Nothobranchius furzeri: one gene and its partners. The protein of the gene in region 6 purifies or fractionates together with the protein of the main gene of each other region. This does not show direct contact. Links are inferred from orthologs where the notes say so. Each region holds a gene or a part of one and is shown on either strand. Other genes may lie near its edges.

The links.
Region 1: the proteins of stub1 (region 6) and yap1 purify together in Homo sapiens (affinity purification with mass spectrometry; 3 studies listed by BioGRID and IntAct, with this or other methods). This does not show direct contact. The link is inferred for Nothobranchius furzeri from reciprocal best matches to the Homo sapiens genes STUB1 and YAP1.
Region 2: the proteins of stub1 (region 6) and dnaJ homolog subfamily C member 13 purify together in Homo sapiens (affinity purification with mass spectrometry; 3 studies listed by BioGRID and IntAct, with this or other methods). This does not show direct contact. The link is inferred for Nothobranchius furzeri from reciprocal best matches to the Homo sapiens genes STUB1 and DNAJC13.
Region 3: the proteins of stub1 (region 6) and prmt5 purify together in Homo sapiens (affinity purification with western blotting; 3 studies listed by BioGRID and IntAct, with this or other methods). This does not show direct contact. The link is inferred for Nothobranchius furzeri from reciprocal best matches to the Homo sapiens genes STUB1 and PRMT5.
Region 4: the proteins of stub1 (region 6) and dnajb6b purify together in Homo sapiens (affinity purification with mass spectrometry; 4 studies listed by BioGRID and IntAct, with this or other methods). This does not show direct contact. The link is inferred for Nothobranchius furzeri from reciprocal best matches to the Homo sapiens genes STUB1 and DNAJB6.
Region 5: the proteins of stub1 (region 6) and hif1aa purify together in Homo sapiens (affinity purification with western blotting; 3 studies listed by BioGRID, with this or other methods). This does not show direct contact. The link is inferred for Nothobranchius furzeri from reciprocal best matches to the Homo sapiens genes STUB1 and HIF1A.
Region 7: the proteins of stub1 (region 6) and map3k5 purify together in Homo sapiens (affinity purification with western blotting; 3 studies listed by BioGRID). This does not show direct contact. The link is inferred for Nothobranchius furzeri from reciprocal best matches to the Homo sapiens genes STUB1 and MAP3K5.

The regions. Positions count from the first base shown.
Region 1 is NC_091753.1:45,044,991-45,048,490, reverse strand, and holds part of yap1 (transcriptional coactivator YAP1), read left to right. Parts: intron 1-438; exon of another isoform or gene 439-589; coding exon of another isoform or gene 590-792; intron 793-1,393; coding exon 1,394-1,512; intron 1,513-2,018; coding exon 2,019-2,132; intron 2,133-3,500. UniProt on the Homo sapiens protein: Transcriptional regulator with dual roles as a coactivator and corepressor. Critical downstream regulatory target in the Hippo signaling pathway, crucial for organ size control and tumor suppression by restricting proliferation and promoting apoptosis.
Region 2 is NC_091747.1:45,032,711-45,036,895, reverse strand, and holds the start of dnaJ homolog subfamily C member 13, read right to left. Parts: upstream 2,801-4,185; 5' UTR 2,663-2,800; intron 1-2,662.
Region 3 is NC_091751.1:63,263,707-63,267,206, reverse strand, and holds part of prmt5 (protein arginine N-methyltransferase 5), read right to left. Parts: intron 1,151-3,500; coding exon 947-1,150; intron 870-946; coding exon 759-869; intron 664-758; coding exon 599-663; intron 516-598; coding exon 363-515; 3' UTR 1-362. UniProt on the Homo sapiens protein: Arginine methyltransferase that can both catalyze the formation of omega-N monomethylarginine (MMA) and symmetrical dimethylarginine (sDMA), with a preference for the formation of MMA.
Region 4 is NC_091747.1:47,489,064-47,491,632, forward strand, and holds part of dnajb6b (dnaJ homolog subfamily B member 6b), read right to left. Parts: intron 457-2,569; coding exon 298-456; intron 1-297. UniProt on the Homo sapiens protein: Has a stimulatory effect on the ATPase activity of HSP70 in a dose-dependent and time-dependent manner and hence acts as a co-chaperone of HSP70. Plays an indispensable role in the organization of KRT8/KRT18 filaments.
Region 5 is NC_091758.1:31,049,934-31,053,433, reverse strand, and holds part of hif1aa (hypoxia inducible factor 1 subunit alpha a), read left to right. Parts: intron 1-1,731; coding exon 1,732-1,922; intron 1,923-2,209; coding exon 2,210-2,361; intron 2,362-2,485; coding exon 2,486-2,570; intron 2,571-3,100; coding exon 3,101-3,210; intron 3,211-3,334; coding exon 3,335-3,500.
Region 6 is NC_091756.1:32,255,875-32,259,506, forward strand, and holds the end of stub1 (E3 ubiquitin-protein ligase CHIP), read right to left. Parts: intron 3,121-3,632; coding exon 3,004-3,120; intron 1,078-3,003; coding exon 952-1,077; 3' UTR 501-951; downstream 1-500. UniProt on the Homo sapiens protein: E3 ubiquitin-protein ligase which targets misfolded chaperone substrates towards proteasomal degradation.
Region 7 is NC_091742.1:11,443,707-11,447,206, reverse strand, and holds part of map3k5 (mitogen-activated protein kinase kinase kinase 5), read left to right. Parts: coding exon 1-4; intron 5-316; coding exon 317-485; intron 486-561; coding exon 562-747; intron 748-1,267; coding exon 1,268-1,373; intron 1,374-3,500. UniProt on the Homo sapiens protein: Serine/threonine kinase which acts as an essential component of the MAP kinase signal transduction pathway. Plays an important role in the cascades of cellular responses evoked by changes in the environment.

The DNA of each region.
Region 1 (3,500 bases), on a different chromosome or scaffold from region 6:
CATAACGCACAGACTTTTGATTATCGTTGCCTCTGTTTTGAACTTTGGGTTTGTTTATCTTTTTTTGACGAATTGGACAACACAAAGTTGGCGTCTAAACAACAGCATTTGGTAGAACGTGATGTTCTACTTTTTCTTTTTTTTTCCATCACTGTTGATTCCTGTTTGGTGTCCTGTATTGTGCTGGCCCTTTATTTTGAAGGTACCCTCTGATTTTCCACCCCCCCCCCCCCCCCCCAAATAACGCAAAAAGATCCCTTCTATCTCTAATAATTGTCAGGTCTTACAGAGGAATGAGGGGCAGAGGGTGACTGTAGCAGGGCCACAGAAACTCTTGTAGCTTGTGCAAATCTATAGAACTGGTTTTCCTTTTCTGTAGTCGTTCATTCTGCTCCACGTGACCTCGCTTTCTTGAAAGGCCACCTTCAGTTGGAGCCGATCCAGCCTTTTTTTTTTCTTGCGTGGTTTGTGGTGTTTTTGTGTGTGTGAGAGAGGGAGAGGGAGGAGTTGGTGGTTCTGGGGGAGGGTTTGGTAAGGGATTTGGCAGCTCCTTTGATCAATAAAGCATAAACAAGCGGGGGGCTTCAGAATGGGTTTCATTGTGTCAGGGGGAGGAGTGCTGAGTCAGGCCCACTCGCTCTCTGGCCTGGGATCGAGAGCAGACAGGCGGGCTGGGATTACCGAACGGGCCAAGGGAAACTTACTGAATCTCTCGCTTCATCCAGCTGTTCCAAAATCTGCTCTAATGGCATTTTGGGATCAAATTAACACCAAGCTGTTAAAAGAAACACAGTGAGTTTTTGTTGATCACTAAAGGGAATATTTCATGGCATAATAAATAAACTCTTTTGTCTCTTAAGTCTCTTTACTACAATTAAAAAGTGGCTTTGCGCAGACGAGCTGCTGGAGTTTGGTGCCTTTTAGGGAGAGATGGTGTGTGTGTGTGCGTGTGTGTGTGTTCTAAATAGGATGGTTAAAAAAAAGGGAATAGCTAGGTTTTAGGTCGTAGCTCAGTCTGCGCCTTTGTCAAGCAGGTGAAAGCTTTGTAAATGTGGCGCCAGATTGTTAAAGCCCCTGACACTCCGCAGTGTCCGAGCCGCTTCCAGGAAAAGGGACCCCCTGCGTTGAGCCCTGGGACTGACCCTCCCTCAATAGAGGGGGACCTGCCTGGGAGAGGAGGGCTTCCTGTATTAGCTTTCCATCTTAATCAAGAAACAAGTGCCAACAAAGCAGTAATTATCAATGCCTTGGGAGTGCACACAATGCCCCTACCCCACCCCTGCCCTGTCCCCTCTATGCGGAGATGGTCAGAAAAAAGATGAAGTAACATTGTTGGATGTGACCATAGATTAAGGTGTTTTAAAGTATATTTTGCCATCTGCTCTTGTTGCAGCCACATTGATAAAACGACCACTTGGCAGGATCCCCGCAAGCCCTTGCTCCAGATGAACCAGACTTCTCCTCCAAGTTCTGTTCCAGTCCCGCAGCAGACTCTCATGAACCCAACCAGTGGTATGTGCAAAAATCAGCTAGCTAGAATCGTGAAGTTTTTACTTAAATTTTGCTTTAATGGAGGAAAAACTCAGTCTAGTTCTTACTTGTCACTAATGTGCACAACTTGGAATTTGGAATTTGCCCCAGGTGAGGTAAGACCGAGGCAGGACGCGTCCTTCTGTTAGTTTGGAAGCTCTGTGACTCAGATCAGTTTAACAGATGACGTCATTCTCTTTGTCTCTAGTTGATACCGCTCAACCTGTTAGCTTGTTGGTAAATAATAAAAAAAAAAATCTCAGATGCTGACGAGCTTGTTTGTCAGGGACAGATAACGGTGATTCACTCAAAGACGATTAAATAAACCTGATTTAATCTCTGTTTGTGCACACATTTGATAACGCTGCTTCGTATTCTTCTCAATGTTCGTTGGTGTACTTTGTGAAACAATATCAGTAAAGAGAAATTCCTGCATTCAGCCAACTTCCAGTACTTGTTCAATGTTATTTTTCCCTGTTATCCCTCAGGACCCCTCCCTGAAGGCTGGGAACAAGCCATAACACCAGAGGGAGAAATTTACTACATCAACCACAAGAACAAAACCACATCCTGGCTTGACCCACGACTCGAGCCACGCTATGGTAAGCTGGCTGCAGACGGGAATCTTTTGGTTTCATCTCTTTTTATTTTTTATTTCTCAACTAAAGTAAAATACATCTGCTCCGTCTTCAGAAGAGGAACTTCTTACACAAAATCTGATGATTCTGAAGCTTTTATTAGACTCTTGCATACTACACCATCTGGTCCATTACCTTTTTTTATTAAGACAAGTGCAAATTTTCAATTGCTTAACCATGTAACCGTTACGTCTGTGACAGTGACTGAATGGCGAATTTTCCGTCATCTTTTGAGGAGAGCATCGGTGTGTTTTTCAGGACAAAAGATTAGACTTTTTTTTTCTTGGCAGCAAAGAATCACAACATTATAAATGACGCCGCACCTCCTTTTTACCATAATACCAGTTGGTAACTGTCAGTGTCTCCATCTATTGTTGTTATAGAGATGGATGGATGTCTAATGTGATCTTGCAATGCAGCTGCCACTGCCGCGGCATGCTGTTCATGCACCCGGTGGAACTCAGTCGCCTGTTCTTTATAGTCGTTCCCAGTGGTGATGCTAGGGGGCGCTATAGCTACCCCTGGATTAGTCATTGCACCCCCAAGTAAATATTAGATTATTTTTTTTACAATTTAATTTTAATTTAACGTGTGGATGTGATCATATTTAACATACAAAACAAAAATAATCAGTAAATTATCATATAGATAGTAAAAACTTCAACCAAAACAGGAAATTGATGTTAACCTTTGACCTCATTTTCCACCTGCGAACGAGTGAAAGGTAGAGCTAGTGGTAAAATGGATCGGTTTTTGTTGCCCACATTTCCACGGGTTCAGTCAGAAACGAATGAATGTTTGGAAGTGATCTCAGACCCACAAAAACCTACGGATCTGGATGGAGTCAACCCTCAACCGCCGCAGCAGTCGAGGGTTTTGCCGCTGGAAATGCTAACACTAACGTTAGCTAACCTTGCAACACTATAGATGGTTTTCTGTGTGGCTGTTTGTGTTTATGATTTCATGGAAAAGTCAGCGATTGTTCATATGTTTATGATGTTTATTAATGATTGTTTCAGGTGTTGTTGAGGTTTTGTGCACGCATGTGTATCTGCTAGTGTTGAAGGTGTTTTAGAGAACAATAGGTACGCACGACCACTTCCTTCATAGCACCCTCAATAAAAAGACTAGCTCCTTCATAGCATCTGCAGAAAAAAATTTCTGGAGGCACCACTGGTCGTTCCCCCTAACCTAGGCTTTCCACCGGTTGCGTAATGAAATGGCTGCATTGTCCACATGACCCCAGCCGTCCAATCATATCCCACTGGGAGCGTTTCAGATTCAAATCTGCAATGAAAGTGTTCCAACTGGACGAGGCCAGCCTGGTGAGCC
Region 2 (4,185 bases), on a different chromosome or scaffold from region 6:
TACTGACCGATCCCAATATCAATCCGATACAGTATCAGCACAAATTTCGTAGTGTGGAATTTATGAAAGGCTTCATCAAGTGATATTACTCAATAGGAGAACAAGTGCCAGCAACAGTAAGCATGAAAAAAAAATCTTTGGTTGCAAAATTGTGAACCTTAAAAAAATGCTTGTATCGGAGATTTTTGATGCAGTCCAATATAATCCAATGCAGTGTTTTTGGGCCAATATCAAATTACTTCCAATATCGATATCGAAACGGGACATCCCTACAACTGCCATAATGACTAAAGATGATTCGGGCTATCAAAAGTGTTGGATTGTCTTGGTCAGATTTTGGGGGACTAGCTCAGGACGATAATTCAATAGTTCAATATATTTATCGATAGACATGTGGTGCGATAGAAAAAAAAGGGTAGATAAAGCTTCAATAAAAAAAGTTTCCTTTTTTCAAAATAACCTATCAGGTAGCAGCATACTAGACTCACTCCTAGCCAATCAAAACCACAGACTTGGGCACGCTATGTCACCAGGCCCTCCCCTCTCAAACCAAAACAGAGCATGAGGCAGCAAGATGTTGCAGCGAGAAGAGGTGGAGAAAAAAATGAAAATACCAAAAATAAAAAATGGCAAGGGCTGCACGTAAAATATATTTTATATAATTTTTACAATATTTTTTAATAATTGTCGAAATTGATCAAAATTTCAAATAAATTTGTCGATATACTATTTTTCTATATTATCCAGCCCTACGGGGGACAATCAAACGTGCTGCCTGTTGAATGTGACGTGTAGCCAATCAGAAAGCAAGGTGACGGAAGCATGCAGCACGCTCCTTCTCTGCCATGTTTGTTTACTGTGAAGTCCTGTTTGATCTTGCACGATTTGTACTAGTTTATAAAACTTTACTCTACTTTCTTATTTATACAGTATCAAGCTAGTTATCATTTTCAATTCTGGTTAGAAAATAATTTTTATGCTGGAATGATTGTAGAAAAAAAGACAGCAATATAGCACTGAGGTTAAAATGTTTTAATACACAATATATTTTAATTAATTTCCAGGTCCAAAGTGACTGCTCTTTACTCTTTGTTCCTCCAAACTGAGGCTCTTCAAAGAGCTGTTGACAAGATGTAACATTACTTATTCATAACCTTTGAACAGAAACCCAGTATAAACATTCTGAACCATTTCTTTAATGTAATACGCTTAAATTGAAGGAATGGTGGGAAATAACTGTCACTTCTATTTGACATCTAGTATTTTGCTGGCAGCTGCATAGTGACATGGGGAACCTGTGTGTCAGCATTTAGAGCCAGGATCCTGGAAAAATCCAACAGCGGTTTTCCTTCCTCTCCATACCAGTGTGCAAACGAAGCAATAAATTGCAGCATGACAATCGTCTTTTACTCACCTTTTTAAACATACCAAGGTGTATTGGGTACTTAAAAAAACACATTTGCAACAGAGCCTTTAAAAATTATACATGTTTTAAAATGTTTAAAAAAAAGGGAGTCTTTATTAAAAATAAAGCTTTCAACAACAACATGCAATGCAATTCAGTAAGGTAGGGACTGTGACTCAATGCTTTTGAAGCAACAGCTGAAAAAGTGTTATTACTGCAACCAAATAGCCTTGATGACTTTGAAAAAAAAATCCAAGTTAGATACCAGGATTACCACGTGACTACCCTTTCTATATATTTCCCCCTGAATTCAAAGTATTCTTGCAAAATCATAAAAAATTGACAAACCATGCTACAGAAGAGAGAACATTTTAAAGTATTAAATGTGGATAAATGTGATTAGAATCCCAGACTAGTTACTAAAATTGTATAATCATACAAATGTAAACTAATGAGAAAGCATCTAAACATTGTTAAAAAACAATTAAAGATAACTGGAAACTCCTTCAGCTTTAGTGTGGGGGCAAGGATCAGACTATCATGTGCTTTTGCATCAGTATAAGGCCCTAAAATGTATTTATATGTCCAGTGAACACATTTACACTCATGATACCTGGGCTGGTGTAAAGGTACAACAAACACACAAAACAAGCACCTGTGGGAGTGAATTAAAGCTGCCGGAATCGTACAAAATTAAAATGACAAAACATAACATTAATTCCTATATGTGGAAAAGCAGCCACTAAGTTATTTTACTCATTGTCGATTACATGCAGCAACCATTCACCCACACAGGAACCCTACTTTCATCAGTCTAGATTTCGTGAACACTACAGCCGACAACAAGCAGTTCACACAACAAGCTACAAATTCAAATCGTGGTGAGAATAAAAACGTAACCCATGTGTGGACGCGCGCTGTCAAGTAAATCCAGCATGAACGTTACCTGGCAAACAGGAGGCTAGCCCAATTCTGTTTCATTGCAGCAGGCCTTAACGGTGAACAGGCTAGCTAAAAACCAACACAAGCGCTCTCTTGTGATGTCGACACTTAAGCGCGACCTCACTACAACTACAGTGACACTCCAAACGCCTTTGTTATCAGCGTTTGTTTGCTAAATGCTATTTTAAGAGGCTGTGGCAGGCCAATACTGGGTTAGCCACAAATTAGCGGCTAACTAGCACATCAATTAGGTATTAGCATAAGAGTTCAATCAAGCAAACACGAAGAAGACAAAAAGTGGCACGTGCTATTTACCTGTGAAATCGCTAATGGGTGGTAATCCTGGTCGACCCTCAGCCCCCCCACCGTGCTCTAGGCTCGGCCAGCGCTTCGGTTCCTCCGTCTCCCCCCCTCTACGGGACTCAGGACGCTGCCATATTCCCGATACCAAAAGCGCTCAACTGAGCAACCGCAAGGCCTGCCTGTCATGCGGCTGTCAGCTGATTGGTTTGTATGGAGGTGGGATTACCCTGAGAGCTGACCCGAGATCAGTATTCGTTTTGTTACTTCCTGTGTTTGAATGGGCGGTTACTGTCAAATCTGATCCAAGAACAGCTCAGTCGTAATGTTGGGGATTTACGTCTTATCTTTGGGACCTGGTTCATTTGGCTCAGTTCAGATAAAAGACGGTTCTTTTGGCCTCAGCTCTTTAACCCTTTCTGCTCTTAAGTTTCAAGCACTAATATTTAGTTAATATTTGTAAATAAACCCATATTTATGAGGCTTATATTGTTTAAAAATGACTGAAAGAGACCGCATTGGGTGGGACCTTTTATCCTAACTTACGATCCAAAATATGTTAATTTGGTTCTTTGCACAAAATCCCTCTAACATAAAGTCATTTCAGTAGTTTTATTTTTGACAGTTCCAGTACCTTCCAAAATTTCTCTGTCACTTTCAGAAAACCAGATAAAGCTGGCCACGCCCACTCAAATCCCTACTCAGGATGTTATAAGCTGAGAAGCTCCTATATCTGGGATGGGCTTGGAGTAGAGCCGCTGCTTCTTCAGCAGCAGCTCCCTCTTGCATAAGAGGTAGTTCTAGTCTACTGTCCCAGTTTGTTAAGTCACAAATGGGGACTTTTTAAAATGATTTGTTTCAGGCTCCTTTTTCCTTAAACCAAACACTAACAGAAAACAGATTATTTTCATGTTTTGAAGTGTTTATAGAGGATGTAGAGACCCACATGGCAGCACAAAGAATGCAAAAGCAGAAGTTTGCATAATATAAATGATAAATGACCTACACTGTTATAGAGCATTTGTGAGTCAGAGGACTCCAAAGTACTTTACACAACAGAGCATCATTAATTCAATTCAAATTCAATTCAAAAATACTTTATTAATCCCAGAGGGAAATTGATTGTTGTAGTAGCTCAGAATAATAATAATAATCAAGTCATCAAAGAGTTATTGTACATTACAATGGCTGTTGGCAGGAAGGATCTCCAGTAGCGGTCAGTGTTGCAGCCAAACTGAAGAAGCCTCTGACTGAAGACACTCTTCCGTTGTCGGACAGTCTTGTGAAGAGAATGCTCAGGGTTGTCCATAATTTTCTTGATTCTCTGGAAAATCCTTCTTTGCATTATCTCCTCCAGTGGTTCCGAAACTGCCGAAACTCTGGCTGAGTCCTTGAAAGGGCTTGGAGTTCCTCCATCTTGTTGGCCAGTGATCTCACATTGCCCGTTATGATCGATGGAAGAGATGGTTTGAATTTCCTCTTTCTCTGTCTCCGTTTTGCTCCCGCTCTGCACCCACGCTTCTTGCGTTTTAGCTCAT
Region 3 (3,500 bases), on a different chromosome or scaffold from region 6:
TCTAAGAAACAGAAGACAAAATACAAACGGTTAAACATGTAACATGAACAGGGTGACCGTGTGTTGAGAGCAGTGCTAACAGGATACAGCTGTGTTATGGCTCATGTGGAATGTGTGTGTGATAAGGCAAAAGACCAGTTGGATGTTTATGTCCACATTTAAACTCAAAACATTACAAAAAAACACAAAACCAGCAGGTGAAACCAGTGGGTTTGGTTTGGACTTGATCAGAGAGCTTCACAATGACCACACAGAGACAGAATGCGTGCACAGGTGAAAGTTCACATCTGCTCTAACAGAATTTATCCAGTCGCCACCGAGTCTAACTAAACAACACGAGTCGAGAGCACGGACGCTGCGTTTCAAAGGCCGATGGTGTAGGAGCGACCTGCCGGGTTGTGGATGGCAGAGCAGCACGGCTCGGTCACGGCCCACTCGTACCAAACCTTCTTCCCATTGTTGCAGCGCCAGAACCGCACCGTGACATCATCATCTCGCGATATGGAAATGGGCTGCTGTTAGGGAGACACGGAATACCCAGAACATGGAGTCTCTGAACAGGATTTGGATTTTTCCACTTTTCTAGTGATTGATTTACCTTGAGGGGGAAGAGGATGGGAAACCAGGAGAACATCCCAGGCGAATGAGTGTCTGGTTTTATACCTGCAATAAAAACACACACACACATGGAATTAAAGCAACATTTCTATCTAAACACACACACACACGATCATTTCCCCTCCCCTCACACGACTTACTGAGTGTGACATCTTTGTACAGAGTCGTTTCAAAATAACCAGCAAAGCCATGGAGCACAGAGTTACAGTCCACAGAGAACTTGAGGCACTGGTAGCGGTTATTGTTCATGTCTGAAAGGACACACACACCTCATAAATACCCCCGAACAAACACACACGTTCCCTCGTGTGAATCTGATGGTTTCTACCTTTAGATGGGTGTGTGAAGGTGAAGCACGCCTTAGGCTCAGCCAGCTGGTGGAAGTTGTGGAGACGCACCACGTAAGGCGTCTCAAAATGGCACTCAGGGTCCTTGTCGCGCTCCCTGCACCCCCGCACTTCATTGTAGAGCTTGGATGAGGATATCGGAGCTAGGAAAGACGTGTAGGAGCAAGGGATACTGACTCCATCATCTGGAACGCAGAAACAGAAAGAAAAAGTGATATTGGATGGGAAAAGGAAGGTAACGAAGCAGTACAAATGCTTGCTCTGCATCAGCAGAAAGAAACACGTCTGCTTGTGGAATCTGTGTTTCTTAAAGCGACGGAACTAGGGATGAGCCGGATACTCGTTTCAGACGAGTATCCGGTACGGAAAAAGCATTTTTGACGAGTACGAGCATGAAACGAGTAAAACTCGTAAATATCTGTAATTGTGCTGAAGGAAAGTCCTCATTGGGTAACTGACCGTCTTCACGCTCTGTGATTGGCCAGTCACATAGTGCGCCCGCCCCTCCCTACACACAAAACTCAGCAGCAGACACACACACACACACACACACACACACACACACACACACACACACACACACACACACACACACACACACACACACACACACACACACACACACACACACACACACACACACACACACACACACACACACACACACACACACACACACACACACACACACACACACACACACACACACACACACACACACAGATCTCCAGTGTTGGGAGTAATGCGGTACAAAAGTAATTAATTACTGTAATGCATTGCTTTTTGCTGTAATGTAGTAATGTAAGGCATTACAGGGAAAGAGAATGGTAATATTTACTCGGTACAATTGTCAGTAACGCGGTAATTACAATGTATTTTTAAACCCAGAATCAAGATGTGTTCCTTAAAAATTCAAATTGCGGGAAACCCGAAGAAAGATCCAGTATCTGCATATGTTACGTCATTTATGGACTCAGCTTTGCGGGCAGAGAGGACGCCGCGGTAACGGCTCAGCTGCGTCCTGCACGCGGCCGCTGTAACATTCACAAAATCTCTCCACTAAAACAAAATAATTCACTTGCGATCGTTCATATCAGCGCATATTCTCTGGTATTTTGTGCTTTTCTGACGTGCTTTGCCTCAGCTGAGTTCATAATCTGTTCCCCGGTGATTTCAACTCATTACTGCTGGAGCACCGCGCATGTGAAGATCCCTCTGGCTGACCGTTACAAAGTAGGAAGTCTAGGAAACTGTTTTTTCTGGAAGACGGAGAAAACATGCAGCATGCAGGAGAGAAAGGGCAGGAAATTATTCAAATAAAATCAAGAAAAAAAGAAAAAAGTAGGTAGATTTATCCCCAATACACATTTTTACCAGTGAAAAGCAATAATATATAAGCATTTAATATTTATACATGTGACAGAATCAGATCACCCCAGAAGTCAGTCCCACATCCAGGGCCGTATCAAGGCATTTGGGGACCAAGGCAAACATAGGCTTGGAGCCCCCACCACCTCACTCCCTGCTCAGTTAATCTAAGATGGCAGCGTGCTGAGAGTACAGATTGTTGTTGCTTTTATTTAATAAACAATCATTTTAAAGCACTGTTATTATATCTGACTGTTTTTAACAGCAATCCTAGCTCAGACACCACATCACCTTCCACATATATGTCATGAGCTCACTGAGTGTCAGGTTACCAGATTCATATTGAAGTTGTTTTGGTGAAAGTAACAAAGTAATGCAAAAGTAGTGTAATGCCTTACATTTTAAAATCAGTAATCTTGTAATGTAATGAATTACTTTAAAATGAGGGTAACAAGTAATAAATAATGCATTACAGTTTTGAAGTAACTTGCCCAACACTGCGGATCTCTCTGTGCTTGCTTCACTGTTCACGTTTCTTCAGTGCTCCCTATGTTTTCTTCGGTTTGCTTCTTTTTAAAGTTAAAGTTATTTAAAGTTACTTTTTTCGTAACGTACGTGGTGCATTTGACAAGACAGAGCTGAAAACGGCTCGTGCTGCGTCAGTCACTGCCTGCGCTCCAGTCGGGTTTTTTTTTCCTCTCTCTCTCCTCTTCCTCAGGATCCACTCCCTCTTTCCTATTCTTTCTCTCTCTCTACATTTTTAAATCACAATTGTCTATTTTTTGCTCATTTTAAATATATTTTAATCATTTTCTAAATTCTTTTTTCTATTTTACATGTTTTGTTTTGTGAAGCGCCCCGTGATTTTTATCTTGAGAGGCGCTTTAGAAAAGATCTTTTCTTCTCTCTCGCTCTTAATTCATGCACTTAAATATTAATGTTCTGATTTTATTGAAAAACTTGTTCTGTAATAGTTCCTTTACTATTGTGATTAAAAACATTTAATCTCAACTCTGAGGCTGCTCTGTAAATAGTTTTCAAATAAACAATACACATAGCAACTTCTGATCAGACGTAAAATAATGTATTGATGTAAACCACACCCACTTCTGGCTTAGGCCACGCCCACCCAGAGTACAGATACAGATCATTTAGATGGTTTAACAG
Region 4 (2,569 bases), on a different chromosome or scaffold from region 6:
CGACTGTGTTGCAGATAATTGCTCAGCTTTTGTGCCTGACTTCCTGACCCCGTAGAGGAAAACAGGGGGCGGACTCTGACCTCTCGGTCGTTACGGCGACGTAGAACAGAGCTGCCTAATGAACATGTCTGTCCTCTGTGTTTACATCTGCCAATCAAACACGCAACTCTTCGTCGTTTGTGCTTTGTGGGGCCATCAGACACAAAAGCCGACAATTAGCTGCGCTCATTAAGACTCTTTAAAGGAGAGCTCAGTGTGTTGGTAATTAATCAGGCCTGCACTGGCAGATTGGCGGACCTCTCGTCAGTCCCTGGCTCTGTGGGCCGTGCTCCTCCTCTTCCTCTGAGGGGTTCTGGGCAGAGTTCCTCAGGTAGCGCTGGTGCAGGCCGAAGCCAGGAAGCGCGTTCTGTCTGAGGCGACGAAACTCCTCCTCAAAGGGATCCTGAGGTGCGAGGTCTGTGGGCGTGAGCGGAGAAGGAATAAATCACACTTAAACTCATCCTGTTTGGATGGAATGCCCGAGGTGCTCAACATGAAGTCGTTTTTTTTTTTACATTTTCTCCTCAGATATGTGTATTATAGAAAAAAAGGGAAAACATATTGCTTTGTGATGCCCTTGGCAGTGTGCGTACGAGCAGACAGGAGAAAATAGATACACACATCTATTACAAGTTGAGCAAGAGTCCAAAAGGTATATTGATGTACCCCAAAAGAAATAACATCTAAAACAAGTCTCTATGGAAACGCACACCCCAGCTGTATATTCCATTCATATTTCATCTGCCTGACTTTATTGTGATTAGTCATGTAAATAAAATGAGATTTGCTTATTCTTTTCTCGAGGTAATTTACATTTATATTGAATTAGTGGCAGGCAGGGAACGGGGTGGATGGGTGGGGGTTATTATGCTGGGAGATTACAGGCAGATCTCATCGTCATTGTGTTGTGTAATTAAGGCAGCGGAGAGGAGACGTGAAGGAGGCCAGATGCTCGTCCTGCTGAAACCGGTCTAGTTTAGGAGGATCTGCACCCCTCTAAGGTTTAAGATAGTCCAGTTTTAAACAGAGAACGCATCTTTGAGGCGTTTTCACCACAGTAAAATAAGGGTGTGTTTTGGTCACTACCTTAAAGACCAAGTTCACTTGTTTTTTCAACACATTTGCAGCAGTCTCTGGTGTAAAAAGACACCTTGTGAGTCTTACTCATTATTATTTCCTGATATTCTGACACCTTGCCTCTGATTGGCTAACAGCAATGCAACTCTACCACTGACTCTGTTTGCTCTGCAACGTTTATGTTTTATCTCCACAAATAACACAAGTCTGAAGGAGTGACTGATGCTAACGGTTAGCATCTACTAGCTGAGACACACTCTGCTCTCTCCTGGCTGCAAAAATTAACCACCTTCCCCGACACGAGCCAAGGTGGATGAGTCCATGAATGCTAATTTACAGCGAGATGCAGATCCATGTGGCTTTTTTTTAACCTGGGCACTTCCCCATTTATTTTCTATTGACGGTTGATGCAGGGAACAGGTATACAAGACTATTTTCACGTTCAGCCTGCATGTGAAATTCAGAGCTGATCATATTTAAAAAATGACAGGTAAAAAATGGTTTCTCATTGAACTTGGTCTTAAAATGTGTCTCCAACAGTTGGAAAGCTAGCTTAGTCCATCCCATTACACTCACCCTGAGGACAATTTAGAATCTCCAATCAAGCTAACATGCATGTTATTGGTCTGTGGGCAGAAAGTGGATAAAACACACGCATGCATGATAAGAACGCTAACTCCATGCAGAAAGGCTGCTGTGGAAATCAAACTTGCAACCGTCTCACTACAACCCAACAAGTGCTACAGACTGCAGCTCAACATCTAACTTCCCGATCCAAATAGTCTCATTGCTTCAGAAAATATGTCTTATTATTTTTGGCAGGTGACAATTCTAACAATTTCTCTGCAGTCAAAAAGTGTATGTGTCTATGGCTGTGTATTAGCAAAGGAAGAATGAGGCCACTCCCTCTAGTGGTGGCTAAAAGGGTACAGTAACAAAAACTTTTACATTAAATTGTTATTAAAATGTATCAAAACATCAAAGATATTTTTGTGTATAGCAGAAATATTGTATAAGTAGTCCTACAGAAGATTTACAAAATTGCATTGCTACTTGCTACATCACATGAATAAAAATAAACGAGTTAAATTTTTCTTTCACTGTTGGAATTCAAATTGTATGATTAACAGGTGTCACCATCTGGTTTTTTTTTGCACCACACTCAGGACGTCAGTGCGAAAACACGTTAGTTGCACATAACTGACATGATCTAATATTGTCTGACAAAAAAATCCTTTAAACTGTCAGGCATAGTTACCAGCTTGCGTCTCCTCTAAACTTGCAAAAATGTTGCCATTAAAGAAATTCGTTGAAAACCACAAACCTGAAACTATTGAGATTTGGACTTTTTTGAAAATGGCGAACCTCCACAAAATATATATAAAATCTGATTTATATACCCAATAATTATAACTGTATGTATTGCATTTTGATTAATCAAAGGTGGACGGTG
Region 5 (3,500 bases), on a different chromosome or scaffold from region 6:
ATAACTTTGTAGCTTCCCAATTGTAAATGGAACTTAATAGCAGCAACACTGAGTGTTTTTCTGTTTGTGTGTTCATGTCACCGAATAGAAATTTTGACCCACATGCTTTTCGCTAGATTAAATCAGCACCTAGCCTATTTCCCGAGGGACGGTGATTCGGCTCAGCATTGAAAATCTTCCAGCCGCAGAGGACCAATTAGCTTTATCGTGGATCGGTTTGTGCATCACGTGTGTGTAATGGAAAGCTTTCGTGTGAAACACAGCCTGCCTGTTAACTAAAATTAGCCTCCTGCAAATTACATTATCTGGTCTATTTTCTGGCAAAAACAAAAGGGCCTTATTCAGTGCTGTAAGTGCGTGCCAGATCAATTTCAATCAGGTGTGCATTTCATAGCTGTGGGTTTTTAAGCTGTTCATTTGGTCGTCTGGCTGCTCACATGTCATCTAAATGTATTTCAACTTACTGAGGTGCAGTTTGCAACAAAGATTGGTGATATAAATTTATGGCATATGAATGGGAGATGAAATCTGTTTTTTGAGGCATCGCGGTTTTTCTAAATCGATTTTGTTTATGTTTATTTACCGCAATGTTGAGCAACATAAGGTGGAACAGGAAGTACAGCACAGACTTTAAAAAAATTTTTTTATAAGCACATAATGGAGGCACAATTTGCAGTGGCGTGTCCAGGCCTTTTAAAATGGGTGGCTCCAGTGGGGCACTAATTTATGCATGGGTGGCACCTATAGTTATACTTTTTGTTTTGATCTGCGGGGTTGTCACCCCTCACAAAATAATACATTTTTGCATTATTCTTCAACTTCTTGTTTTGAGGTGGTTAGCAAGCCACTTCTTGGTGCATTACCGCCATCTACTGGAGTGAGTTTGGACCAGGACTATGAATACTATTTTTGTCAATATGAAAACAATAATTAATAATACACAAATGTTCTGTAGGCCTGTGACTAGAAACTAATGTTAAAAGTCCATACTGTCGACTACTGTTTTAGGGGTTAACCCTTATTTTTTTGTGGACAACTTAATGTCAATTTAAGTGGAACTCATTGGGGTGGCCAGTCAGATTCCAAGAGTGGCAAATGCTGCTCCAGACCACTCACTGGACACGCCATTGACAATGAGCAATAAAAAGAGTGAACAAGTGAACATTTTAAACATGGCCGCCGAGCGAGACCAGTGTTGTGTCAAAAGGCCTTCCTTCTCCAAATATCGTCTGTTTTTCTTTTGTTTTTGATTCTGAATCAAGACAACAGCAAACATCATTCAAAATAATATTAAACCCACAACCATTTTTTGAATGAAAGCGGCCATTTGATGCACCCCTTCTTGTTCTTACCTTGAATCTAACAATTTTGTCTCATTAAGTTTTTATAGTGTAGTGATTTCAGTCACTTGAAGAATCAATAGCCCTGCTTTGATTCAGCGGTGGTCACATTAGCCGAAATGGCACTGTAAAATGTCTGAATCAGTGTGTGGGATGGGGGTGGGGGGATGGCTGAGCTCTGACTCTTTCCTGTGTAGTCATTTGAGTGGGCGAGTCCTATTTCGTTTGTTCAGCAGCCAATAGGACGCTTGCATTGCACTGGCTGGGCTGAGACAGCCTGTTGAATGCTCCAGCTGCGCTGGCCTCTGCAGACATGTTTCAGTTTTGGGAAAAGGGATTTTTACGTTTAACAAACCCAGCATGAGGCTGATCCACCTCCTGTCTCCTGCAGGGTGAGCTCGGAGCGCAGGAAGGAGAAATCAAGGGATGCAGCAAGATGCCGCCGTGGGAAGGAGTCGGAGGTGTTCTATGAGCTGGCCAAGCAGCTGCCTCTCCCCCACAGCACCAGCTCAAGCCTGGACAAGGCCTCCATCATGAGGCTGACCATCAGCTACCTGCGCATGAGGAACCTTCTCTGCAGTGGTCAGCATCTGTAGCGACAGATGATTATAAACCATTCCACTGCTCTGTTAACCATGTACCTGCAGTATGCTTGTCATATTTGTTATCTTGTTGACTTCAGAGTAATTCACTTCATTTACATGTAGCCTATAGTGGAAAACACAAAGGAGGTACTGCGTATTCTGCCATAATCTCTCTGCAGAAACACCTGGGGCTAGAGGAGTGGTTTTTCTGTGTCTGCAGCTGTTTGAACCGGTTATTTGTCCTTTAGCTTATCACCCACCTTGCTCCCTCTCTCAATGCTCCAGATAAGCCAATGGAAGAGGGGGAAACTGAGCTTGATGTTCAGCTGAACGGGTCCTACCTGAAGGCGTTGGAGGGCTTCCTCATGGTGCTGTCTGAAGACGGCGATATGATTTATCTCTCGGAGAATGTCAGCAAGTGTCTTGGGCTGGCGCAGGTGGGTCTGAAGCAGGGAATTAAAAAATAAGTGCACATTTTTAAGCTTTAAATGAATACTTCTTGGTAGCTCTATTTATATATTTGTGTTTTAAAAGTATATTTCTGTTTGTTTGCCTTTGCAGTTTGACCTGACTGGCCACAGTGTGTTTGACTTCACACATCCCTGCGACCAGGAGGAGCTGAGAGAGATGCTCCTCTGTAGAACAGGTGAGCAGTGTTGCACTGAAGAGTACAAATGTGTAGAGAAACCGAGACGCGCACACACAGAGCTCTCTGTCGGGTGTGTTGGTGCTCCAGATGGTAGAAAGTCCAACTCACTCTGTGGTCAGCTCTGCTTAGTAACGACACAAAAATCCACTCCGGTTTTGAGCAGTGGCTGAGTAATCTTCCGACCTTTTAATCATCAATAACAGATCTTTGCTTTGCTTCTCGTTAGTGAGATAAGTTTTGCTGAATCTTCTCTCTGCTTCGGTTCACTCTTACATTTAGGACCTGTGTTTTTTGTTATTTCTTTGCTCACTGATACCGCCTCGGCTCTAACTGCTGGTAGCTATTTCCATTTTATCCTCTAGCTCACCACAAGGCCACAGCATCAGAGCAAATGTCTCCTTTTGATGCAAATTTTATCAGTTGGCAGTTTGTAGATTGTTGAGTTGGGACCAATAAAAAAGAGCAATCTACTGCTGGCTTACTCTGCCTCACTCTGGATTCATATCTGTTTAATTTTGTGATTCCAGGCTCCAAAAAAAGCAAGGAACCAAATAATGAACGGAATTTCTTTCTGAGGATGAAATGCACCCTCACAAGCAGAGGTCGCACGGTTAATGTCAAGTCGGCTACATGGAAGGTAAAGAAGTGTTGAAGCTGTGGAGCATCTCGGGCTCCTAAATTAAAAAAGTTACTTAAAGTAAAAAATAATAATTACAGAAAGATTAAAGTTTCCCTCTTGGTTTGAAAACGTGTTTCTGTAGGTCCTTCACTGCTCGGGTCACATGTGTGTTCATGACCATCGAGCAGAGCAGATGGAGCCACTGCTCCCCTACCTGGTTCTGATCTGTGACCCCATCCCCCACCCTTCCAACATCGAGGTCCCTCTGGACACCAAGACGTTCCTCAGCCGCCACACCATGGACATGA
Region 6 (3,632 bases):
AACCATTTGTCAACGCGGGTTTTAGCAACAGCTGAACATTCTGAACTCATATCCAGCAATGTGGGAACGTTGTTTATATATATATGCAGCCATTTATTTTCTGTTTCCAGTTCAAGGCGTTTCAGAAAAACATGGCAAATCGCTGAGGACTGACTCTAAAACTAAAAAAAATACAGAACTCATTCATTCGACTTATTGGAATTGTCTGTTTGAAGGTGTGATTGATATGCAAAGGAGAGGAAAACCTTTTTATTCTACTCAAATCCTTAAAGTGACAAAGACGGTTGGGTCTGAGCGCCACCAGCATCTCGATGCATCAAGTAAAACTAAAAACGTCTATTGGCATTTCTGACCACTTCAACAAATATACTAGAATAGATGGGCAGATGCTCTTTTTCTTATGAAATATGACAAAAATACTGGATTAGATATCAAATAAAATGTCTGTCAGCAAAATTTGTTGGTTTATTTTATATTTAAGTATATATGTGTGTATTTAGAGACCTACTGTAGGTATATGTGAAACACTAGAGTGTGATGCTAATGTTTCCCAGTAACTGTGGCACTCAGAGATAAAGCAGGCAGAGTGCGGCAGAGACCTGAGTACAAGCCCCATTATGAAGACAGGAGGAGTCAGGCTGGACGACTTAAAAAAATTAAATTAAATTTAAAAAAAAAACACGATAGAGAAGCTGAACGAGAGAAAGAGTGATCAGGTCTTAAAGGGAGCAACAGGCCATGAACACCAAGCCTCCGAGAGCTGCAACAAAAGGTTTTACAGCCAAGAACAAAACCGTTGGGAGGATGCAAACTGGGATGCTTTATACTCCCCGTTTGGTAGTTTCCTGTGTGGCTTGAGTAAAGTTCATATCCAGGCAAAGGGTGATCTGTTCTCTATATTCTTATCCAGGTCTGGTGTTGGCTCCTGGAAGAGAAAAGGAGCGAGCCTCCTCAGTAGTCCTCCACCCAGCCGTTCTCCTGGATAAAGGCATCAATCACTTCCTTCATGGCCAGGTTGGGGATCAGCTGATCCTGGGTCAGGGGACTTCGGGTGACTGGGTCAAAGTGACCAACTCGCTGCAAAAATGCAAACAAGAAGGATTTAATGTATTTGTGCACAACTACATTATTGATGCTTTAGAGAAAGTAACTGAACAGCTTTTCTTCTAACTGTGCCAATAACCAACACTTGTAATACCGTTAACCCACGTAAACCAATGATAACTACAGGGAGCCTAAGCCACGCTCATCTACTGGGTCCACTACTGTCAAAAGCATGATGAGCCAATAAAAGCTGTTTTCTGATCCCGTTTAATATGTGCTATGGCTTTAACAAATGCTGTCTGTGAATTTTAAAGACACATTCTGATGGCAAGAAAGTGCTTATTTTTAAAAAATGGCTAAAGTTATTTTAGATTTTGTGCGAAAAAATGTATAAGACTACAAATGTTTGTCTCACAAAATTGATGTCGTCAAACCAGACATGATGAAGAAAACGACTGAGTTTAGCGAGCTTTGGATCTTTCTTCCAGGACAAAAAAAAGCATTAAACGTGTAGAAAAGCACCATAAATCTGGCCATGTGGTAAGTAGCCGCTACGCTGGGGGAGAGGAGATACTGTGGTGATGTCGTATATGCGACGTCTGATTTGTGGCCACTTTAATTATCAATTTTTACAAGGTAATAAATCTCAAAATACGTGACAGACATAATCTAAACTCGTTACTATTTAGAATTTAAGCTAAAGTACAACATATGTGAGACTCGGGGTTAAAGGCAAAGTAGATTAGAAAATAGCTTTTGCAGCGCCGTTGACGGGGAGGAGACATATGGGCCATTCCCATCTGTACCCGGTCGGCACGGGCCGGGTAGCCCCAGTCGGCCCCAGCCTGGCCCGGTTGATTCCACACATCCTTGTCTTAAGCCCATGTGGGCTGATTCTACCCACCAATCAGAGGCTTGCTCTAATGGAAGGTGTGAATGGGCTGATTCTACCCACCAATCAGAGGCTTGCTCTAATGGAAGGTGTGAATGGGCTGATTCTACCCACCAATCAGAGGCTTGCTCTAATGGAAGGTGTGAATTTGCTGTCAGCAGTGGGTGTGTTGGCCCTGGTCGGCCTGAAGCAGACCTCCTCGGGAAGAGGGCCGAGAATGAGCCTTGGTTGGCCCGGGAAAATTCCAGGCCACCCAGATATGTAAACAACCTACGCTACCCGGCCCGGGCCGACCCGGTACAGGTGGGAATGGGGCTATAGGCTCCCTGTTACAACCAGTACTGATTTGTAGAGATGCAAGAAAATTTCTATACACTGAAATATTGCTGATATTTAAAAGAAGGTGTATCAAATTTTTATAGAGCATTTTAACATAATCTTCCACTGTGCTTCCCTTTGTGTGGTGCAATTCTACCTCCAACTGCTAGGTGGCAGCAGATTTTACCGCCTTCAGTCTGACTTCACGAGATCTCGTGATAACACTGGAAGCCTCTGGTCTTCAGGCTGTTTTGTATCATAACATATCATATGGTCGCTGCTGTACTGTGATACATAACCCACCGCTACTGATCTGATCATGTCTAGACTTGTGGACAGAAGCCTGTCCTACCACAGGATCAGCACTTCACGTCGCGGTGGCGGCCCAGTGTGACCCTGGCTTTAGCGGCTTGAGGAAGAAAACTTCAGATGCTGTTGGAAATTACAATTAACCTGTCACCTGAGTCTGTCACCATGGTGACCAATGCTGTAAACCTGCTCGCAGTTCAGTCCACACATTTTAACAAGCTGTTCTATTCATTCATTCATTCATTATTTATTTAAAGGAGGACAATGCATACTTATGAACAGTAAATATGCCAGATTTTAAGACTAATTTCCACTTGCAGTCCTCTGGCAGGTTGATGTTGCTAAAACAAATAAAACAGTCAACAACATACACATAGATAAAAAAAAAAACAATCAAATAAAACAAGTCACCAACTACCAGCAGACCTGAAACTGTTTACCTGTAGATGCTCTTCTATGTCCTTGCGGTCATAAGTGATCCCGCTGGGTGTGATGCAGGGCTCCCTCATCAACTCAAAACTGATTTTCCCACAAAGATAATCTGGAATCTCTCGCTTCTGGAATCAGGAAAAGAGGAAACTCTAAACAATCAGGGTTTCTATACAATTAGATGATTTATTCTGGTCTAACAGGGTCCAGGTCATCAACAAGCTGCTGCTTAGCAACCACACTGATGTCACTTCCTCCTAAAAAGCCTCAACGATCATCCTAATACGATATTAAGCAAACACATAACAGATTGATACATCTTATTCTAATTTCAAGGCCAGTTCCATCCTCCCTTATACGACTACAACCTCAATATAAACAACCAGCTCTGGCAAGAAACTTGGCAAACAGCAAGTAACAGTCGTCATAGAAACAGCTTGCGCTAAAATTAAAACAACCATCTTATTTCATGCGATCTCATCTGTCAGTGAAGTTACTGAGGTTGTATAAAAATAAAATAACCGCAAAAGATAGACTTAAATAAAACAGATCTCAAGTCAGATCTGAAGAATCAAGTATATTTGCTGCTCTTATGCCAACTACAAAAATGGGGGAGGGGGGGGGGGGAGACACACACTGT
Region 7 (3,500 bases), on a different chromosome or scaffold from region 6:
TCAGGTAGAACACTTGAAATGGACAGAGTCGTGGCTGCTGCTTGCTGCAGACGAGTTTCACGCATAGCCTCACGACTGTGAAACACTAAACCAGTTGTCAGTATAAAGGCCAAAGCAGGTTTATTTCAGATTAAGGTCTGAGAAGTCTTTAACAGTGGATTTTCTAATGTAAAAATGATACAAAACAGCAGAAAATTTTGTTTTTGAACAGATTTACGAATTACGAGCCATCTAACTAAATGTCCATAGGTGTCCTTAAGACTTTTGCATATAATAAAAGAACGCACTAAACCAAACCGCCGACTATTTATCTCAGCATTCCAGTGGAGAACTTTGAGGATCACAGCGCTCCTCCGTCTCCCGACGAGAAAGACACAGGCTTCTTTATGCTCCGCAAGGACAGCGAGAGGCGAGCCACGCTGCACCAAATCCTGACCGAGGACCAAGACAAGGTTGTGGCCAACCTGATGGAGGCCCTCACACAGGTTGGGAATGGAAGAAACTAACAGGAGGGCCAGGGAGACGCAGTGTTAAAATCTTCTGTGGTTCTCTGACCTTCAGGGCTCTGAGGAAATTAAAGTAAAACCGCAGCACATCTCCATCCTCGTAGTGAGTCTGGCTGACTTCATCCGCATGGCCGACAGGAAGATCATTGCCAACACCTTGTCTCAACTCAAACTGGACCTGGACTTTGACAGCACCGCCATCAGCCAGCTGCAGGTCATACTGTTCAGCTTCCAGGATGCTGTAAGTTCATCACTACAACAGGGAGGTTCGATAAATCCTCCTCTAATTTTCCCTTCTGGGAATAATCAGTCCATTGAAATCCTTGAAATGACTTTAAATAGCACCAGATTAAAACCCAAACATCACTCCTCCTCCATGCCTGAGTCATGTGACTTCCTGTCTGTTACATCCCTGTAGAGCTCTGGGTGTTTTGTTGTAAATGTTTTACGTCAGGCAGCAGAAGCCTGTCTGTTTCCTTTTCCTCCTGCGCCGAGATAATAAAGTAAAAATGATTCATAAGCTTTAAGAAAAGAGGTCTTCAGACAGGAGGAACTGCACATTCTGCAAACAGGCTCATCAGAAATGCTAAACGAATAACATAAGAGAAAATGGTTGTTAGTGTATTGCATAATCTGAGGTGGGAAAATGGAGTTCTGACGCCCCCTGCTGGTCATCGATGCACCCAGAGGATTTTTTATGTGTAGTGCACGACTACTTAGACTTGTAAATATGAAAAGTTTGTTTTCCTTTATGTTTATAGGTGAATAAAGTGCTACGAAACCACAACATCAAGCCTCATTGGATGTTTGCTCTGGACAACATCATCCGTAAAGCAGTGCAGACCGCCATCACCATCCTGGTGCCAGGTAGTATCATCCATGTTTAGAGCAGAGCACCTCTAAATGAATTATCCCTCCCTCCAGCCCTGGGCCAAACTGGCAGGATAAATCCAGGGATATGAAGAGGGAAGAATATAGAGCTAAAATGCATTATAGATGCATACTTTTTGCATGCTGGCTGTGGTTTTTAGAAGTATTCCTTGGCCGACGCCACGACTCTCACCTGAGTGTTAAATTGTTCATTAAAGTGTTTCTCTTGGTCACGTTATCTTTGATTTAAAAAGTTGTATTTTGCACATTTGGAAGTATTTGCAAGTTTTTATCCTTGCTTTGAGTAAAGTTATAATTAATTACAGATTAGCCGTGGTAGATGGCTTCCTGAATTGCCTCTGTTTGGAGAAACAGATTAGCATCCGTTAGTAGAGATAGTCTTCTTAGTGTAATTATTTATCATCCTAAAGTAAGAAAATCTCTATATTTTTTAAAATAGTGATATAATTTCTAACAAAAACAAGATGACCAAGTAACATTTATAACAATATACAACCGATGAAATGCTAGAGTTAGCAGGCATCGCTACCACTAGCTTGCATGGTCATCCATTGTTGCCCATCCAGTTGATGTTTGCAGACAAAACTTAGAGAAAGTTGTTGTCAACATTAAATGTGTGGTTTACTCGTTTATTCAATACATTTGCAGTTTTCTCTAATGTAAATCAATGCCTTATGAGTCATGAGATGCAGATGTTTGCTGGTGAGGAGGTGGACTGAAAACAGCAGAATTGCTCATTATTATTAATGATATGCACACACCTTGCTTTTAATTGGCTAACAGAACGTGTTCAGCCATGTTGCACAGGCACTATCACCAACACACTCTGCTCTCTCTCTTTGCTGCAAAAAAAATTTTTTAAGCCTTCCAGTGGGCAGACGTGAGTCAAGATGGGAGAGGCCATGAATGCAAATTCACAGTGTGACATCACAGTGTGAGGATTTTCAAATCCTAGCATTTCACCATCTATTTTCTATCAGAAGCTAACAGAGGAGATTAGTGTGGGAGATTGTTTTCATGTTCAGCCTGCATGAAAAACTCAGTGACCGATTATAATTAGAAATAGTTTAAAAAAAAATTCAGTCAACCACACCTTTAATCAAAACCTTTGGGTTAATATTATGTCCTAACCTTTACACTCGGCCTCACAGTTATTGATTTTCTGGGGACATCCGTTCATGTTTCTGCAAGGTTTTCCACCGTGATTGTCCATGTTGTCGTTCCTGAGTATGGTGTCGAGTCGGGCCAAATCCCCACTCTTAATCAGCAAATGGGTACAGCAGCTAAAATACCTAAGAAACGTACCTTTCCCTGCTCGCTGTCATGAGTGAATATTGTGAGATTCGTGCCTTGTTTGCCTTTCCAACTTTAATAAAGCCACGCTGTATGGCCCACATGAACAGAATCCACTGCATAGTGGATACATTTACATCATGGTATCATCATGATAGGTTTTTTCTAAGCAAGACATAATTACTAGTGGTATTGTGAATGACCTGATACACCCATCCCTAGGTTGAATTTAAATTGTTGTACATGAATTATAAATATATATTAAAAATAGTGCCTTTGTTACCTTTTTGCCAGCTTTTGATACAGCTCTAACAACTTGATAGATAGATAGATGGATAGATGGATAGATAGACTCCATGTCCAGATTAAATTACAAAAACCATAAACAAGCTACATAAAAACACACTTTAAAAAAATGTCGTTTCTTATGGTTCCAACAAAGATGATAAAAAGCTACTTGTGCCTTAGACAGCTTGCCAGTGTTTCCAAAGCTCAGACTGATGGTGAGCGGCACTAAGGTTAACGTTTAACAACTGAATCAATATATGTTTGATGCATTTAATCTGCTGATGAAATTCTGTAGACAATGAATCACATCTTGAAGGGGTTTAACTTGTAAACAATTTACAGGAAGAAAAATATTGAGACAAATATCATAAATCAGAATTTTGCTCAAAGATACTGGATTGTAAGTTCTGGTCCATATGGCTCAGCACTACTTTTAAGTAAAACTTTAGTTTCTCACACTTCCTACTGGTTGGAAACAGTATTGCAATTGTTGCAACCAGCAGCCTGCTATAGCTAGCGCTA